Linked DNA regions of Ovis aries. The protein of the gene in region 2 purifies or fractionates together with the protein of the main gene of each other region. This does not show direct contact. Links are inferred from orthologs where the notes say so. Each region holds a gene or a part of one and is shown on either strand. Other genes may lie near its edges. The genes, in order: UTRN, TNS2 and DTNB.

Evidence for each region.
Region 1: the proteins of TNS2 (region 2) and UTRN purify together in Homo sapiens (affinity purification with mass spectrometry; 4 studies listed by BioGRID and IntAct, with this or other methods). This does not show direct contact. The link is inferred for Ovis aries from reciprocal best matches to the Homo sapiens genes TNS2 and UTRN.
Region 3: the proteins of TNS2 (region 2) and DTNB purify together in Homo sapiens (affinity purification with mass spectrometry; 3 studies listed by BioGRID and IntAct, with this or other methods). This does not show direct contact. The link is inferred for Ovis aries from reciprocal best matches to the Homo sapiens genes TNS2 and DTNB.

The regions. Positions count from the first base shown.
Region 1 is NC_056061.1:68,902,322-68,906,069, reverse strand, and holds the start of UTRN (utrophin), read right to left. Parts: upstream 2,768-3,748; 5' UTR 2,746-2,767; coding exon 2,652-2,745; intron 1-2,651.
Region 2 is NC_056056.1:133,377,990-133,381,304, forward strand, and holds the end of TNS2 (tensin-2), read right to left. Parts: coding exon 3,312-3,315; intron 3,020-3,311; coding exon 2,894-3,019; intron 2,709-2,893; coding exon 2,616-2,708; intron 2,491-2,615; coding exon 2,413-2,490; intron 2,252-2,412; coding exon 2,174-2,251; intron 1,766-2,173; coding exon 1,597-1,765; intron 1,501-1,596; coding exon 1,432-1,500; intron 1,326-1,431; coding exon 1,296-1,325; intron 1,154-1,295; coding exon 1,015-1,153; 3' UTR 506-1,014; downstream 1-505. UniProt on the Homo sapiens protein: Tyrosine-protein phosphatase which regulates cell motility, proliferation and muscle-response to insulin. Phosphatase activity is mediated by binding to phosphatidylinositol-3,4,5-triphosphate (PtdIns(3,4,5)P3) via the SH2 domain.
Region 3 is NC_056056.1:33,029,713-33,033,460, forward strand, and holds the start of DTNB (dystrobrevin beta), read right to left. Parts: upstream 2,509-3,748; 5' UTR 2,336-2,508; intron 1-2,335.

The DNA.
Region 1 (3,748 bases), on a different chromosome or scaffold from region 2:
GCGAGCTCTTCCAAGAGCTTCTTCCCAATGACAGCCATCTTCAGACAGACCATAGTCTCTTGTAACACTCTTCTCCATCAGCTCAAACCAGAAAGCAGGAGGTCTGATCCTCCTGTAGCCTCCTCCAGCTTAGAGGAATCTGTTCACCCACCCATTCCTCAAGCGGAACCTGAGACTCCCCTGCCAACAGGCATGGGCTGAGTGCAGAAGGAAAGCATAAGCTTCCTTCCTGTCCTTCTTCTGGAGCTTTCAGTCTAACAAGGACCCATACACTTCCCCCATATGCTTCCATCTTGAATCCCCATCAGAATCACTTGGGCAGCTTTTGAACAGTTACAGTCAGGGCCTCAGTCTAATTATACCAAGATCCCCGGCGTGGGGCTCCAGCACGCTGGTGATTCTAACGTGCAGCCAAGGTTGAGAATATGTGAACCCATTCAAAATGACTGACTCAGAGTTCTGTCAGCCTGAAGAGAAGGCAGGAAGGATGGCAAGAAAAGCGAGGCCTCCCAGAAGTGGCTTCCTGGGCAGACCTAAATCATCTGTGCGTTGGTAGATGCCTGCAACTCCGAGTAAGTTTTTATTTCACACCTTCAAGCCTTTTTTTAAAAACTTATTCTCCTTCAATTAGATTATTTGTTAACATTTGGGCATTTGTACACAGACATCAAGATTAAGAAAAGGCAAAGAAATATTTTAAATATTTTAAAATGTAATGATTCTATACCAGAGAGAGAGTGATACAGATAATCAGATTTCAACTTACTGAGAAGCAAATGCACTAAATTAGAGTTGCACATTTTAGAAGATAACACAGGGCAAAAGGATGGGCAGTTTCAAAAATAACACTGAAAGGCTTATTTTCAACAAATATATATTTCAATTTATTCCATTTTATTACTTGTTTTATTACTCCCTTTAGGTTCTGCAGAAGTCATGTGAAACCTCAACCCCAGTAACATCAACAGTTTAATGCAAAACACTTATGGTTTCACTCTTTCCACCTTACTTGAGGTCTGTATATAAAGGATTCACCCCAAAGTTTAATCTATTATGGAGACTGCTTGAAGATCAAAAATAGCCACATATTGCAATGGAATGTGCCACCCATAAACATGTACTTTTTTATACCTTTATTTACAAGATCACTAAAGAGAGCTATCCTGTAGATATAAGAAAATAGTAAATTAATAACAGCCAATAAGAAAAGAATCTAGGTCCTTGCAAATCATATACACACTAATCTTCTATTTTTATTAAAATAATGTGCCCTAAAATGTATTTTTTTTAAAAATGCTTTTTACTTTCCTAAAGCCTTTGGACTGACCACAGAGTAGGAAATAATGCTGTATGAATGAATGAGAATTCATGTTTAAAGCTGAAGTCTACCCGTATAAAAGTTTGCTTATTATTTAAAAGTTTATTTGAATTTTTTACTTCTAATTATCTTCCTATTTCTGAGACCCTTGGTAGCAAGACATTACTGCACAGACTAGCAGACAATGAAGATTATTCACGCTGGGAAAAGGAAGAGAATTAAGTGAAAGTCAAGATATATATTTGTAGCCTTTCAATGCTGCTCTTGTACCTGAGGTTTTAATTCAGGTTTCTGACAGATATTTTAATTTTCTGTTGAGACCACACGGTTCTTTAAATAAGAGAGAAAAGTAACAGCCAACAAAGTGAATTATACCATGCTGATCTCTTATTACACTTGGCCAAGAAGCCAAATTTGCTAAGAAAACATGGGCTGCTCCAATCATTCTAGTTGAGAATTCATTCCAGGGAGAGGATGCCTACCAGCATTTACCACCACATTCACATGGAGTTAGGGAGGAAAACTTAAGAGGGAAAGAGTAATTCCAAAAGAAAGAAAACCATTTTTTAAAAATTCTGACCAGTCTAAAAGTTGTTCCATACTAACAACATTCAAGCATGATATGTAAGGTCAAGTATTACACATCACTTGAGTTTTTTATTTTTTTTCCCATCAAGTTTCTTTGATCTATATGGACATCAGAACTAATCAAAAAATCTAGGTCCCCCTGGAAGTAAACTCCAGCAACAGAAAAGTGCATGACCACATCTAACATGAAGTTCCGAGTCTGAGTTCTTCTGCACAAGACTGCCTAAACACAAAACCCCTCCATTTACAATCTGCCCAAAAGTACGTCTGATTCTCCCCTTAATCAGCTCTGAACCACTTTTAAAAGTAAAATACATTTTTAGTCAGCACAGTAAATCAAGTACAATAGTACACTATCCCTACGCAACAGCGCAAAGGAAACTTTCTCTATAGGACAGAAATAAGCTAGTTTGAAAATATATGAAACATGTTGTCACAACAAATATATGGCTCCTTATGTACTTTTTTCCAAGAAGCCAAGAACTGGAAAATCATCGCATTCTGAAGAAAAGATGAAACCCCACAATGCTGGTCTCGACTCCTCAGACTCTACAACAGATGCGACATCAGGAAGAACATGCCGGGGTGTTCCCATCCCCAACTTGGTCCTGCCTCCAGCAGCTCTGTTACTTAACACACTGGGTTCAGTAAGTGACTGAGAGAGCCCCGTCTTGGCTGACATCCTCTTTTCAAAACCTCAGCGGAGGGAGGGCAGGGAGTCAGGCAGGCAAGCTGACAAACTTACCTGGTAAATGCTTGCCAGACTGGCGAGCTACGTGTCCTGGCACATCAAATCTGTACTTTTTCCAACGAAACGCAGTGGCCGCCGGGCCGCTCATCACCTACATTTGCTTAAGTGACGAGGAAAAAGATGCAGAGGAAGTGGATTTTAACAGAAGCAGCCTGCGAACTGCACACTGGGATGTCCTGTTTCGCCGTGGCTTTTATTTTTCCCATGAGAGGATCTGACTAAAACCTAGCTGAATCTCTTCTAAATACCAGACAGGATGTTACACTTCGCAGTTAGTGAAAATTCCTTAGGTCATTTTCTGTCACTGTTCTTTTAATTGTCACAACGCAGGGCCTTTGAATGTTTCTGATCCACTACAAAGAGATTGTAACTTTGCTTCCTGTTTTTGACAGCGTCAGCTGATAAGGACACCTCCACCCACCTCCTTACCCACATGTATATAAATAGAGGTGTTTGCCCTGGGTATACAACTGGACTGAAGAGTTTGGTTATATATTAACTCTACTTCAAAGCATAAATTGAACTTGTTATTTCACTTCAATATGCATATACACCTTGGGAAAAATGGAACTCAAAAGAATTTCTTAATTCCTTAGAGATTGCTATTATGGAAAAAAATACATTCAACCACACAGAATCATAAGATCAGAGGTAACAGTTTTGACTCATATTTTCCAGCCTGTTCTATCTTGTGTATTTGCCTTGCTCTTTTATTATCACGGAACACAGATGTCAGGTGCCTCAGTGATAAAGAATCAATGCTGGAGTCACAAGTTCAATCCCAGGGTCGGGAAGATCCCAGGGAGAAGAAAATGGCAGCCCACTCTAGTATTCTTGCCCAGAAAATCCCATGGACAGAGGAGCCTGATGGGCTACAGTCCATGGGGTTGCAAAAGAGCTGGACACGACTTAGCAACGCAACAACAGCAACATACAGATGTCATCCACACACATTCAACAGCAAGGAAAACCATGACCCATACTGCCTCATGGGCTTTTTATTCCTGTTTAACTCTTTTTTTTCTCTCCTGCTTCAAAACAAAAACTTTCAACTTATAAATAAAGATTTTCATAACTTAGGTTCTCTTGTC
Region 2 (3,315 bases):
CTTCAGTGTTTGATCTAGCACTTACACGTGTCCTCCCCCACCAAGCCCTCCAGTCTCCTAGCCTCTTGACCCTGACTCCTGCCCACACTGTGGCTTCCGGGAGGGAGAGGGAGCAGGAGCCGTTGGCCTTGGTTTGGGGAGAGTGGGCAGGGCTTTAGGGGAAGCAGTGAGCTGTTGTACTGCGGGGGCCTCCACTTTGGCCCTCCCTTCAGGCCCTGCACTATGATGTATGAAATGTATGTACAGACCAGAGATGTTTATACAGCCAATAAAGATGGAGTTTCCATATTTATCAGTACAGCCGGGACAGGGGAATCCTTCCCAGTACACGAGCCGGGGACTGGGCTGGAGGAGGGAGTGGCGAAGGGCTGTGGGGCCAGGGAGAGGGATCATGTGTGTACCACAGGCATGGCTTGGGCCTGGGGTGCCCTAAGAAACACAGGTGTGGTCCCGGGAGACCCGAGGCTTTGTCCTTCCTGGAAACAGGCATGAGTCTAACTCTAACTAAACATTATAGAAACTCTTTATTATTAGACAAAAATAGACTCTTATTTTTTTTTTCTTTCCCCCCCTTTTCATGTGATCCTACTCTGATCTCTCTGCTCAGAGGGGAGGTAAAGGAGGGAGTGCCTTGCTCCCCACACCTCTCCCCTCTCCCTGCCGTGCTGGGACCTGCAGCTGGTAGAGCAGGCAAGGCCTGTCTCCCCCTCCAGCGCAGATGCTCTCCTGCAGGTGGGGCTGTCCAGATAACCCCCTCCAGGCTCCACCACCTCACCCTCACACACCGTCTCTGCCCTCTGCTCACATGCAAGGTCATCTCATGGGCCCATCCACTTCGCTTAGCAGGCTGGGGGCGGGGAAGGAGAGCAGCGTCCCAGGCCGTTGTGTCCGCTCCCCATTCCTAGGGGAGAGGCCGGCTCCTGGGTCTCCTGGGTCCAGGCCAGGGGAAGTGAGGGCTGTGTGGTGCTGAGAGGGGCACAGTGTCGACGTGGGCTTGGAGCTTGTGGCCTTCCTTCATTTCCTCTGGCCCAGTAGAACTTTGGTGATGAAGGTGACAATGGCGCCTGCAGGCTGATCTGGGTCAAGCTCTGCGAAGAGGTGGCACACATTCTCCCAAGGGCTTCCCGGCTTCTTGGCCACGAAACCAAAGATCCTGGGGGCACAAAGGCAGGGTGGGGAGCGATGAGCACCCCTTCCTCAGGGATGGCCATGCCAGGGATGGGGAGCAAGCAGGCGCCTGGACACCATGCTGATGCCGCGCTGGGAGGGGAGATGGCACCCTGGCAGAGGCTTACTTGGAGGTGGTCCCGTCGGAGTTGGTCCATCTGCGGAAGGAGAAGAACTGTGAAGGGATGCACCCAGGGAAGAGCTACCAGTGGAGAAGCTGGGCTGTGGGGACTGTGGGATGAAAGGGCTGGGAGGGAGGGTCACCTCCGGTCCTGAGGATCAGTGCTGGAGAAGGTGATGCTGTTCACTGGATAATGGCGGCGAAAGAAGAGCCTGGAAGGATGAGGGTGGGGAAAGTCACCCAGAAATCGGGGCTCCCGGGGTCTGTGCCTGGGGTCCCCCAGGGGCTTACCCGGCACACATACTCACTTCCTTTGATTGTCTGTGAGTGTGATGCCCTGGGCTGAGACCTTGAAGTGGACGACGGCTGGCGCAGGGCGAGGGCTGCAGCTCAGAGCTGCGGAGCTGGCCCGTGCCACTGCTTGGGGGCCTGTCAGCGACTCCGTCTCCACTGAGGTCAGGTAGAGCACGCTGCAGGCTGCACGGTGAGGAGTGGGTTGAAGGGAGCAGGGAGCAGTGGCTCTGCCAACCCCAGTTCCATCTCCCCTCCGTGTTCCACCCGCCCAGCTCTCGCATTTTCCCCAGCTAGTGCTGCTCAAAATGCATCCGTCACACAGGTAGCCTGTTAAAAAGGCAGGTGACTGCGCGAGGTCTTTAGTCAGAGATGCTGGAAAGAGGCTGGAGAATCTGCATTCTAACAAGACCGCACCCCTGCAGCCTAGACAGGTCTCCCCATCCCATCATGTCTATGGGGACAGGCCTCCCCTGCCTTCCTGGGTGAGGTGCATCTGCCAGGGCTGGCCCACACACAAGGCCTTTCTGTTCCCCATGTGTCAGGGGTGTCCTATCTGGTGCGCGGGGAAGGGAAGGAGGGAGAGGCCCGTACCGGCGCCTTGACGCAGGAGGTCTGCCGCTGTACTCATGTTGCTGGGCACTGGGGCCTCTGGGACCTCCTCCAGAGGATCTGAGGGAAATGGGGGTCAGCAGGGAGTGGCAGTCCCAGGAGCTGAGGGTACCCTCTGCCGTCCCAAGGGAAGGCAGGCAGGCAGGGAGCCAGGACCGGAGATTGTGCCTTTGGCCACAGTGGGAGGGGAGAAGGGGGAGGACAGATGCCCAGACACCCACCTTTGCTGGGAATGCGCAGGCAGCAGGGCAGGGACAGTGGGGAGATGGAGTGCTGGGAGACCAGGGCTGACAGGCTGCCTGCAGGGGAAAGGCGAGCGGGCTCCTGAGGTGCCCAGAGACACCTCCAGTCCTCCACCTCCCTCCTGACACCTCTTGGCCTCCCTGCAATGCCAAGTGCAGCCTTCCCCACCCCTGCTTCTCACCAAAGTAGGGCTCGCTGGGACAGCCCTTGATCTTCACCCCTTTGGGCCCAGTCTCAATGAGAAAATGGCGGACCAGCTGTTCCGAGGGGTCCCCTGACAGGAGTGGAGAGGAGGGGAGAAGATTCCAGGTTCTACTTCTCTGCTGGAATTCTCTACCAAGCAGGAGAGCTCATCTCCTCCTCCTCCCTACTATGAAGTGACACGGGCCACCCTGCCTGGTCTTGCCTCTGTGCCTCCCTCACCCCATCCCCTCCCCCTCAGGCTGGGCCACTCTGTACCTTTCCAGGACTGGGCGCTGGGAGGGGGCGTGGCCACCTTGAGAGCCAGCCCATAGGCTCCTTGGAATGAATGACTGTCCCTGATCAGGAAGGCCCCAGGGTCTTTGTCCTTCAGCAGGGTGATGGCTGGGGGAGGCAGGAGAAGCTTTCACAGGGGCAGACCAAGCCCCAGGCAGCCCCTCCGCTCTGCTGCCCGAGCCCCCCAGACCTCTGGCCCTGACAGCTGTGGTGTCAGCACCCAGGATGCCACTGGGGAGTCAGTGCACTGGGCACTGAGCAGGTGAGACCTCCTCGGGCCTAAAACCCAGAATCATCTGCTAGAAAGAGGCTCGGCCCAGAGGAGGCCCACTGATGAAGTGGCACAAACCAGAAGCTGAGCCAGAGGCCCGGAGGGAGTAGGGGCAGGCTGGCTTCTCACCTTG
Region 3 (3,748 bases), about 100 Mb from region 2:
TTAATGTAAGTGTTCTGAGCATGTTTAAGGTAGGCTAGCTTAAGCTATGATGTTTGGTAGATGGGGTGTATTAAATGCATTTTTAACCTACTGTACTTTCAATTTACAGTGGGTTTATCAGACATAACCCCATCAGAAGCTGAGGAAGATCTGTATATACATTTTTCAAACTCCACCAGCTCTGCACAGGACATCTGTGCAAACATCAATAAAGGTGATTTAGAAATAAATGGCAACCCACTCCAGTAATCTTGCCTGGAGAATTCCATGGACAGAGGAGCCTGGCAGGCTACAGTCCATGGGGTTGCAAAGAGTCAGACATGACTGAGAGACAAACACTTCTACTTCTAAATGTAAACTAAGTATATAAATAAATAAAACACAATATTACTGAGAAAATGGAGAACAAGGCATACTAAAGTACAGCACTGAGGTACCCCAAAATAAGAACTAGTAGACACCTGATGGATGCACTCTTAATTAAGTGTTACCGCCCTAAAACTAAAGAGAAATTGACTTAGTTCTTCAAGGCTCACCACACAAGGCCAAATTTGAATTAATATTTTATTTTTATACAAGGAAACATAGGTCCTGAGAGATTTAAAGATATAAAGTAAGTGCTTTAAACCAATTCCATTGGTTTTAAATCTGACTTCCTAAGTAGAAATTTTCTCTCTCAGTCATAGTGGACACTCAAAACTCCTGCCAACACTACGCTGACTACACAACTGCCTTCAAAGGTAATTCCACTGATGTATGATAAAAATCCTCCCAGAACTCATAAAAGGTCAAGTTTTAGTTTGGCAGACAAAGTAACCCAACAGGCACTGCAACCCAGGCAACTGAAACAGCAGCCTGGAGCTTGAGAGTCCAGAAATTCAATGAAGGCAGGAAAAAACGCAGAGTCCCAGCCCTCATGGGTAAGATCAGAGTCACATTCGCTGACCACAGATCTAAGATGCAAGAGCCAAGATAAAAATGAAAGCATGCTCTCTAGACAGACATTTTCCCCTTCCTCAAGTGACAGCAGAGAGAAAGGCCAGGATGGGATGATTTGAAGCAATGACCCTAGGAGTAAGACCCTGGCAGTCAACACAGAATAAAGTAGCGAAGGTGGCAGCACAGCCACAAGATACAACTCCATCACCTTAGCCACTTGCTTAGCCCAAACCTAAGAACCTCTTACAGGGCAAAAAAGAGAGAGGAAACTTAAGGCACAAGGGAAGTCCATCAGCATCCCTAACATCACACTGATCAACAGTGCTTCACATAAAATAGAGCAAAACCTTGCTTGGTCCATTCATTCATGCAGTTTTCAGTGCCTGCTGCTTGGGAAGAAAGGGAACTTCCTCTTTCCAATTTCCTTTTTTCCTTCTCTCTCTTTAAATGTTACACAGAAGTGTCTATAAAACTCTCCCAAATACCTCCCACAAGCTTCCTTGACCCTCCTGCTTTAATCCTCAAACCAAGCAATTTTATGGCTCCAATTTCCCAATACTACTGGGAAGAAGACAAAGTGAAAGAGACAAAATTCAAAGCTGCTTTGTATTTCTTACGCAAACCTTTACAACCAAACTGCCAGCACCTAAGTAGCAAATGATGGTTGTGCTTTACACAATTGTGACCCCAGTGCTGACTACGGTTCTCTACCCAAGGTAGTTAACCAACAAACTGTCTGCTGAGGCTGCTGGAAGGTCTTCCTAATCCCAAGGCCTGGCACAGGAATTTAACAGCAAGCATTCGTTAGTTGCATCCTTCCTCCTCTCAGGACACTTTCCTTAAAAGGGTGACCTCGGTGCACAGGGTCACAGTTAGGCGCCTCGGGAAATAGTGTTTGGGGATGATCTGAAATAAATTCCCTTCCCTCTGCCAGGGCCTGCCTGACTCACCTGCCCTCTGCCAGGACCTGCCTCCTTCGCCCCCTTCAACACCTAATGCAGAGCCTCCTTCCACCAAGCCGGGCTCGGGCAGCATCACCCTGCGCCCGCACCCCGGCTCCATGTCCGCCAGCCAAAGCGCGATCGGAACACCGGAGCCCCCTACCCGACCCAGGGCTCAGAGGCCGGCAACGCCGGCCGCGGAGTCCGCTCCATCCTCTCCGCTCGCCCCTCCAGGGCCGGGAGCGCGGAGCGGTCTCCGTTCACAGCGCGCGCGGTGCAGCGGCCCCGGATCCCGGGGGGCCGTCTCCGCCGCTCCCGGCCCTGCAAACCCCCGCAGGCTGCCGGGGTGCGGGCGCTGCGCGGGTGCCTTCCCGCTCCTTGCGGGCGCGAGGCTCCGGCACCGCGCTCCTCTCCCGCAGCCTGGGGCAGCGGCCGCAAACCCTCGCCGTACTCACTTCCCGGCCGGATCTGGGGGCGTCGAGAAGGACTCCGGCGGCTGCAACCTCCTCCGCCTCCTCCGGCCCGGCCCCCGCGGTTGTGGCGGTGGCAGCGCCCGCTCAGGCCTCGGAGCCGCCCCCGCGGCGAACGTTCTCAGGCACCCGGCTCGCGCCGCTTACCCTCCCGGCACGCGCAGCGAGCCCGCCCCCGGTGCGAGGGCGCGAGGGCGCGAGGGCGCAGGGCTGGGGGCGGGCACGCGCCGCCTGCGCGAGCGCGCGGCTGGGGGCGGGGCTTCCGCCGCGCCGAGGAGGGGGCGGGCCGGCGGGCCGGGTTCCCTTCGAACCCCGCCCCCTGCGGCCCGGTTCCGGGAGGGCGGGGGAAACTTGCCCCCTGCGGGCTTTTCCCGAGAGCCGGCGGCGGGCGGCGGAGGTGCGTTTCAACTCCACAGGTATGTACCCCGCCACCTGGATGTTCGGCCCGACGTGACTACAAGGTAAAGAATGCGAAGAACCACCCCCATAAATCATTCATCATCCGCGCCTGGAGCAGGAGTCACTGCCCTGAGTGGTATTTCCAAATTAGTTCAACTCAGCAAACTGTTTACTGAGCACCGACTCGGTGCCTAGCTCTGTAACGCTGTACCAGGTGCTGTGTGGGTACACCGTCACGGTCACGGTCCCCGGTCTCCAGGAGCGCATAACTTAGTGGAAAAGCAGCCGTGTAAACAACCAGGTCTGGTGACCCATGCAAAGCCAGAGCCACTATGAGATGCTGTGGGAGCTCAGAGGAGGAAGAGATTACTTCCGCCTGGACGATGCGGAGAGGTTCCTGGAAGAGGCGGCATCTGTGTTCAGCCTGCAAGGAAGATAGAGAGGAGTCCTAGGACGGAAAAAAGGGAGGGACATCAAAATTTAGGTAAACAGCTTGGGCAAAGGAACAGAGAGCGACGGAGGTGTACCATCTCTGCATCGGCTTTTTTTGAATATCCGTTTTTGATAGAATCCTTTCCAAACTACGTGAAACAGATGATGCTACATGGGGAACAGCAAAGCTTTTTTTTTTAAGCACTCAAAAGATCATTCTTTTCTTAATTTATTTTTTTTAATTGAAGGATAATTGCTTTACAGAATTGTGTTGGTTTCTGCCAAACATTAACATGAATCAGCCATAGGTATACATTTGTTCCCTCCCTCTTGAACCTCCCTCTCTACCTCCCTCCGCATAGGATCATTCTTGTCAACATCATTTAAGGCTGAAAACAGCAGTGTCCTTTAAGGACTTTTGATATGTTGGTGGCGGATGTAAATCCGTAAGCTAAGACAGCCCTGTGCTTTGAGTCTGGTTTTTCACGCTTTTTGGCACCTTATAGTAAAGCAGATTGTGCCACCTTCTGCTGTGGTCTGCCTGCCTGTCTTTAGAGCATCCTTTTC